Caenorhabditis elegans: one gene and its partner. The protein of the gene in region 1 interacts with the protein of each later gene in a pairwise test. Each region holds a gene or a part of one and is shown in the gene's direction. Other genes may lie near its edges.

What was found. Proteins that work in one complex are often made in the same cells at the same time.
Region 2: the proteins of fbxo-11.2 (region 1) and mek-1 interact in a two-hybrid assay, tested with the Caenorhabditis elegans proteins (one large-scale study listed by BioGRID).

Annotation. Positions count from the first base shown.
Region 1 is NC_003281.10:1,051,428-1,055,181, reverse strand, and holds the start of fbxo-11.2 (UBR-type domain-containing protein), read left to right. Parts: upstream 1-1,939; coding exon 1,940-2,066; intron 2,067-2,399; coding exon 2,400-2,529; intron 2,530-2,593; exon of another isoform or gene 2,594-2,798; intron 2,799-2,815; coding exon 2,816-3,338; intron 3,339-3,699; coding exon 3,700-3,754.
Region 2 is NC_003284.9:7,477,203-7,480,956, forward strand, and holds the start of mek-1 (Dual specificity mitogen-activated protein kinase kinase mek-1), read left to right. Parts: upstream 1-2,045; 5' UTR 2,046-2,053; coding exon 2,054-2,237; intron 2,238-2,286; coding exon 2,287-2,519; intron 2,520-2,569; coding exon 2,570-2,713; intron 2,714-2,768; coding exon 2,769-3,080; exon of another isoform or gene 3,081-3,206; coding exon 3,207-3,377; 3' UTR 3,378-3,754. UniProt on the Caenorhabditis elegans protein: Dual specificity protein kinase which may phosphorylate kgb-1 and thereby is an essential component of the JNK pathway composed of mlk-1, mek-1 and kgb-1. May also have a synergistic role with sek-1 in phosphorylating pmk-1.

The DNA of each region.
Region 1 (3,754 bases):
CATATTTTTCAAAAATTGTACATTTACTTTAAAAAAAACTGTAAAATGCCTGTTTTCCAAGAGATTTCCTGTAAGCCCTTAAAATTTTTTTTTGGAATTTTGGAAAATTTTTTGTTTTTTTTCAAATCCTTCTAACTTTTTCAGTTTTTGTGGCACTTTGCCAAATTTTAGCACAAAATAAGCTCCAAAGCTTGGAGTAGTAGTTTAGTTTAAAAATCCTTAAAAGTTTGAAAAATATCAGTCTACCAAGAGTTTCCGTGGGGGGTCCTCGAAATTTTTTTTAGTTAAATTTATTTTTTTCGGAAAATTTCAAAACCCCCTAACTTTTTTAGTTTTAAAGATTTATATACCAAATTTTAATTTAAAACAAGCTAAAAATTTATATTTTTCAAAAAATTGTACGTTATCTAAGAAAGCTGCAAAATTTGTGGCTGTCATAAGTTTTCGTGGAAGGATTTTGAATTTTTTTTTGGCAAATTTTAAAAAAGTTCAAAACTTCATAACTTTTTCAGTTTTTGAGATATTCTGTTAATTTTTAGCTTATAAATAGTTCAGTTACTTAGACTAACAGGTTAATTTAAAAAATCTTTTAAAATTTCGCAAAATATCATTCCACCGAGAGTTTCCGTGGGGGTCCTCAAAATTTTTTTTTTGAAAATTTCAAACCATCCTAACTTTTTCAATTTTTCCGTAATTCTTGTCAATTTTAGCTCAAAATGATCCTTAAAACTTTCTCTCCCCATCCAAACAGGTGTGAATCAACATATTGCGCAATGCTGAGACGCAGGGTGGGCCGGAGGGGACGGTACTAGGCTAGTACGCGCGGCTGGCCGGGCGGCGGCCTCGTTACGGAAAAGTGGAAGAGTGAGGAGAGATATAGAAGAAGTGTGACCTATTTCCCGCATACAATATCTCCCCGTACCGTCATCTTTTCCTCCTCTCTCTCTGTCTCTCTTTGTCCCTCTCTCCGATTTCCAAGGATTTTTGCATAAATCCGTCACGTGGCACGAGTTTTCTGGGTCCTGCCACGCAAACTCGTGGCGTGCTGTCATTTATGAATTTTGCTAAAGTTGTTTATTTGAACCTGAAAATTGAATTTCCGGGGCTTATTTTAATCTAAAAATGAAGCAAATAGCTCCAAAATTGAGAAAGTTGTGAGGTTTTGAAAATTCCAAAATTTTCAATTTTTTTTTTGAAATTTTAAGTTAAGGTGCCATCACGAAAACTTCTGATTAAAAAGTTTTAATTAATTTTCCATGAAAATTCATATTTTTGCGGTCATTTTGCATTAAAAATCGTAGAAATATCTTAATTTATTAAAAAGTTAGAAAACTTTGAATATCTGAAATTTTTGCCAAAAAATATTTTTACAATTTTTAGGTCCCACCACGAAAACTCTCAGCAATTCAAGATTTTCAGAGTAAGACATTTTACAATAATTGTAACTTAAAATTCAAGTTTCTACTGTTATTTAACATTAAAAATTATAGAAATATCTCAAAAATGGAAAAAGTTATGAAATTTTTAAAATTTCAGTTTTTTCAGCAACTAAATTTTCAAGGTCCCGCCACGAAAACGCTTGGCAAACTGAAATTTCTCTGTTACGGTCATTTTGAGTTATTTTGTAGGAAAATTCAGAATTTCACAATCATTTTTCCCAAAAAATGATAAAAATATCTCAAAAATTGAAAAAGTTGTGAAATTTTTGAATTTTTGAACTTTTTCCTAAAAACGTTTTTTTGACAACTCCCAATTTCTCGGAAATTTCCAAATTTTCTCAACTTTACCCCAAAATTTTATGTGTGACCTCTACTAATACCATAACAATAACAACAATAGCCTCCAGACCCCCCCCCCCCCCTCAGCCGACCTTCACAGGTGTCTTACACCGTCTGCGTCTCTGCCCCCTCTCCCCACCGCCTAGCCTACATGCTTGCAGATGTCCGGCGAGGAGGAAGAAGAATGGCGTGTACTTTACCAGGAGACCTTCGGCTATCGCCTGCCGCTTTTTCACCCCGAACATGCCGTTTTTCAGTTTCAACCCGCGCCGAAGCAAAAGTTTACAGGTGAGAACTGGAAAAAGCTACGTAACCCGCGCTACAGTAACCCAGTCACCTTGAAATTATTGCCATTCGATTTCTCTCGCTGAGAGCTTTCAAATGACACCCATCATGCCTATGCTCCAACGATTTTGAGTTTCGACACAGCTGAAACTGATGCTACAGTACCCCGCGTGGCGAGACCCAAATTTCCAAAACTGCTCGGAACCCGGGCATGATGGGGGTCATTTGAAAGCTAACAACAAGACTAACAAAATGCTGATATTTAAAAATTAATAGGGCTACTGTAGACCGGGGGGTTAATGTAGGTTTTCTGCAAAAAAAAACAGTTAATTTCAGACGAAGAGTTCAATCCGTGGAAGGAGGCCTACGAGCAGTTGAGCCGCGGCGTTCATGTCATGAAAAATTTGGAGCAATTTGTGGGAGCCGCCGATATTCAATGTTTCGATCATATTGAGGAGGCCTTGAGGTGTGAACTTGGACTTAGGCTTGGGCTTAGGCCGATGCTTAAGCTTAGAGTTCGGCTTAGGCTTAGGCTTAAGCTTAAGCTCAGGCTTAGGCTGATTCTTAGGCCTAGGCGTAAACTCAGGCGTGGGTTTAAGCTTAGGCTTAGGCTTATGCTGATCCTTCGGCTTAGGCTTATGCTCAGGCTTAGGCTTAGGCTTTGGCTTTGGCTTAGGCTTAGGCTTAGGCTTAGGCTTAGGCTTAGGCTTAAGCGTTGGCTTAGGTTCAGGCTTAATCCCAAAAATTTCCAGATTCCTCGACGAAAACGACGAGGGTGGTCACCACGAAAAGCTGATCTTCCTGCACGAAGGCACCCATGAAGTCACGCACACCATCCGAATCACCTCCGACGTTCAGATCCTCGGCGCCTCGGGCTCCGAAGACATTGCCACGTCCGTGGTACTCACCGGACGCCACGCGACTGTACTGGAATTCCAGAGCAGCGCCTACATGGGCTATGTGACTGTGAAGTATGAGGTGGACACGGAGCACGAGGCTCACGTGGCTCAGGATATGGAGGTGGATGCTCCCAGAGCTGGTGAAGAGGTGCCTGTGGGGGAGCCCGGCGGAGCTCCTGGAGCTCCTGGAGAGCCTGGAGAGCCCGAGGAAGCCCTGGAACCTGAAAAGTTGCTGGAAGCCCACACGGATCCCACTACGAATTGCGCCATGATAGTTACCGGGCTGCACGTGGAGCCCATCATTGAGCACTGCAATTTTCAGTCTGGTAATGCTGACAGTCATACTGTAGTTGTCAAGGATCACGCTGCACCGAAGGTAAGTTTTTCACAAAATTTTTATAACTTAAAATTGAAAAAAATTGAAAAAAAATGTTTTTTCAAAAATTTCCAAAAAGTTACCAGGCTGGTTTTTAACCTAAATTTCAACAAGATAAATAAAAAATTCACCCTAAAAATTACCACCACACTTCTAAAATTTCAAATAAATATCGAAAATTTCAGTTGAAAATCGAAAATTTCCCATGAAAACTCATGTTTCTCAAAAGCTAAGCTCCCAAAATTATTGAAACTTTACCCAAAAAATTTCCAGGTATTTTTTGATAGTATGATCATTTAGAAAGTGTAGTCCGTGGCTTTTCAGCTATTTCCAGCGGAGCTCCAAATTCCCAAATTTTCAGATGAGAAACTGCACTTGCATCGGAGGCTCGGGCGGCGGGATCATTATCACACACC
Region 2 (3,754 bases), on another chromosome or scaffold:
TAATTTAAAATGTTCATTCATTCTTCTTTCCTCCATAAACAGTGTGGTTATTTATTTGTTTGAAATAGCCGCTTCGCGCCCACCCACTCCGTAACGTGAGTCATTCATTGTGGCAGCCCCGCCTCCCCGTGACTCAAATTTTGTATTTATTGCAATCTCATCAGCAACTTTTTTTGTTATGCCTTCATGTTTGGACCATTAATAGAAAATTGTTTGAAACTGACCTTTTGTGTGGCGAACAATCACATTTAATCGTATATCTCGTAAATCTCTACGCAAACGTGTTTGTTCTCCAATACCACTTGCCAAGAGGCAGTCTTACTTTGCGAAATATGGATGATAAAAGACATCATGATTTTTTCTGATAAGGATGAAAGCGCAATTATCGATTCCTCTCCGCTCCTACGCTCTCTGTGTTCAGCGCAATTGCTCTGACCAGTTTTTTTTTGTTCTATTCTCTATATCTAGAAACATTAAGCATTAATTCAACATATCATGAACCATCAAGATTTGACATAATTTTGATAATTTTCCATCAACTCAGTCGCCGACAAACAAGTTAGAGGCTCCCAACTCTGCACCTTGTGAGATGAGTCATGCAACAACTGGTCCATATCTGATTTAGTGTAACGACCACAATGCCACGATGACTAGGCTTGATTCTGCATTTGTTATTTATGGAATTCAAGACATTTTGAGATTTTTGCATTTGGTGTTCTAGCATTTATCTGACTAATTAAAATCAGAAAATGTTTTCACCTCGTTGTTTTTCAGAATTTGACTTTCCACATTTTCCAGCACCGCTTTTAAATATAAAAAAAAATAGTTTTTATTTATTTGATTGGGTCTCCTCATTTATTAGAAAAAATGTCGAAATTCTTGTTTGCGTCTTCTCAAATACATACAATAGTATTCTCAATGTTATCTCCTAATTTCGAAATCGATGGTTTCTCAATTACGAAATATTAGGAATTTTCCCACTTTCCGCGACACTATTATTTGCCTTTTTTAACCGCAATTCGATTACATTATTAGTGGTAAACAATCTTTTCTCTGAATTTCCAACGTTTTTTTTGTTTTACAAAAGAAACTATATAATAGTTGCTGTCCTCACATGATGATCAATGTTTTTTATCATTATCAATCAGAAAAGTCCCAGCTTTTCTTGACTTTTCCTTCAGAAATTATCATATCACAATTTGTTTGTTTTCTTTTTCTCTCTAACACTCTTACTCTATTCACTCAACAGTTCAATGCCGGAAATTCAAAATAACCAAATCGTTTTGACATAAACTTCAGTTCAAAGTTGACCTATCGCAAAAACAGGTCGAAAACAAAAAAAAATGGGGAACGGACCGCCAATGTTTTGAAACGGAAGGGGGGTGCGCACGCGGTCGCGTCGCGTGCCCGGTGTTTCAACGTAACTCTTGCACTTATTTACGCAGTGTGTCTCACTTGTGTGTGTGTGTGCCGTTCGTTTTTTCTCTCCCTTCCCTCCTCCCTCGCCGCATTGGAATTGCGACGGCGTCAATGCGGTCTTGCCGCTTTTCGAGACATTTTTGCTGCTGTGATGCCATGTTTTCACCATGATGTAATGCAATTTAATCCTCATGGCAAGAATGAAAAGTAGTTCAAAACGTTGCCTTTCTCGTTTTGGCAGCAGCTCTTTCTCATTTGATCCCCTCGTCGTATAAGCTAATACGCTTTTTGTTTTCAGCTGCTATATTCAGCCAACACAAAAGGCAAGAGCCTTTCCATTGACGTAAACGAGGCTTGTTTGCAACAACATCATGCATTCTAATTTCGTACATGAACTTTTCGAAAGTGCATTGAGATGAGAGTAATGATGAGAGCAAAGACATTTTCTTATAACTTCCCCTATTATTTATATGTATAGCCACTCTCATTCTTAGAAATGCTAGTGCACTTCTTTTCGTGCCCCAACAATTTATATTTTCATCCTAGAAATATAAATTCAAAATTTTGATTCTTCCTGATATTTCTTTATCTCTTTTTTTCTCTGTACTAAAAATAATAATTTTAAGGTGAAAAGATGGAGAGAGACTTCGACCTTGGCATGGGCAGACCTGGCGGGCTCGGAGGACTTGGTGGTGAACCGATCATGCAACAAATGCCACAGCCAGCGCCTCATCATCCATCCCGTAGTAGTAACGACCACAATGTGAAGAACCTCATGAAGCAGGCCGAGGAGAACTCCGGATATCTCACATTGCAAGGTAATTTGGCTAAATAAATAATCTTGAAACGGTAACAATTGATTTTTAGGTAACCGTCGTAAAGCTGACTTGAAGGAGCTTCAGTTCGTGGAAGATATTGGTCATGGAAGCTGCGGTACGGTCACAAAGTGCAGATACAAGAGTGTGATCATGGCTGTGAAGACGATGCCTCGGACGTCAAACAGTTATGAAATGTCCCGCATTTTGATGGATCTTGACGTCATCTGTCTCTCTTTCGACTGTCCGTACATTGTACGTTGCTTCGGATACTTCATCACCAACGTAAGAATTTTTATGAATTCTTTGACTTTTCCAATTATCATTTTTTTCAGTTCGACGTCCGTGTCTGCATGGAGTGCATGGCTACTTGCCTTGACCGTCTGCTTATCCGCATCAAGCAGCCAATTCCAGAGAGAATTATTGGAAAGTTGAGTGTGAGCATCATTAAAGCTCTGCACTACTTGAAAACCAAGCACGTAAGTTTATAAATCAGATGAACCATTTGGACAATATATAATCCGATTTTTTTAGCAAATCATGCACCGTGATGTGAAGCCATCAAACATTCTCCTCGACTGGAGTGGCGTCATCAAGCTTTGCGATTTCGGTATTGCTGGCAGACTGATCGAGTCTCGTGCTCATTCGAAGCAAGCCGGATGCCCTCTGTACATGGGTCCTGAGCGCCTCGACCCCAACAACTTTGACTCGTATGACATTCGCAGTGACGTGTGGTCTTTTGGTGTTACTTTGGTCGAGCTGGCAACCGGACAGTACCCATACGCCGGAACCGAATTCGACATGATGTCCAAGATTCTCAATGACGAGCCACCGCGCCTGGATCCGGTATGTGCTCTTCGTAAAAAATTCATCTAGAAAAAGCTTTTAAGAGCTACCAGTAGACATAATATATGCTTTATGGCGGCTAGAAACAGTACACAACTAGTATTTATGTATTTTACAATTTTACAGGCCAAATTCTCTCCGGACTTCTGTCAACTCGTCGAGAGCTGCCTGCAGCGTGATCCAACGATGCGTCCCAATTACGATATGCTCCTCCAGCATCCGTTTGTCGTGCATCACGAGAAAATTGAAACCGACGTCGAGGAGTGGTTTGCCGATGTGATGGGCGAGTGCGGATAATTGTCGAATTACAAACGTATTGTTATTTCCCAAATCATTTGTAAAAACTATCAATCCCATTCACTATCTCTTTCATAACATTTCCTGGTCTAGCATTCATGGTGCAAAGTTTTTCAATTTTGCTTTTTTACCTTATTTACCCTATTTACCACTTTTACCCTATTTTCACTTGTTCTCGTTCCCGTTGTCTCTATCAAAAATTCCCAACCTCTCTCACCGAATCCCTGTCTACCAAACTTGAATGTTCCGGATGTATAGTATCATTGTAGGCCTAATTGATTGTATATTTTGATTATGATATGTCTCAAAGTTAAGCCATCCACAGCTAGTCTTCTCGTCAGAGATTACTGTGGACATTAAAATTGTGATTCAAATTG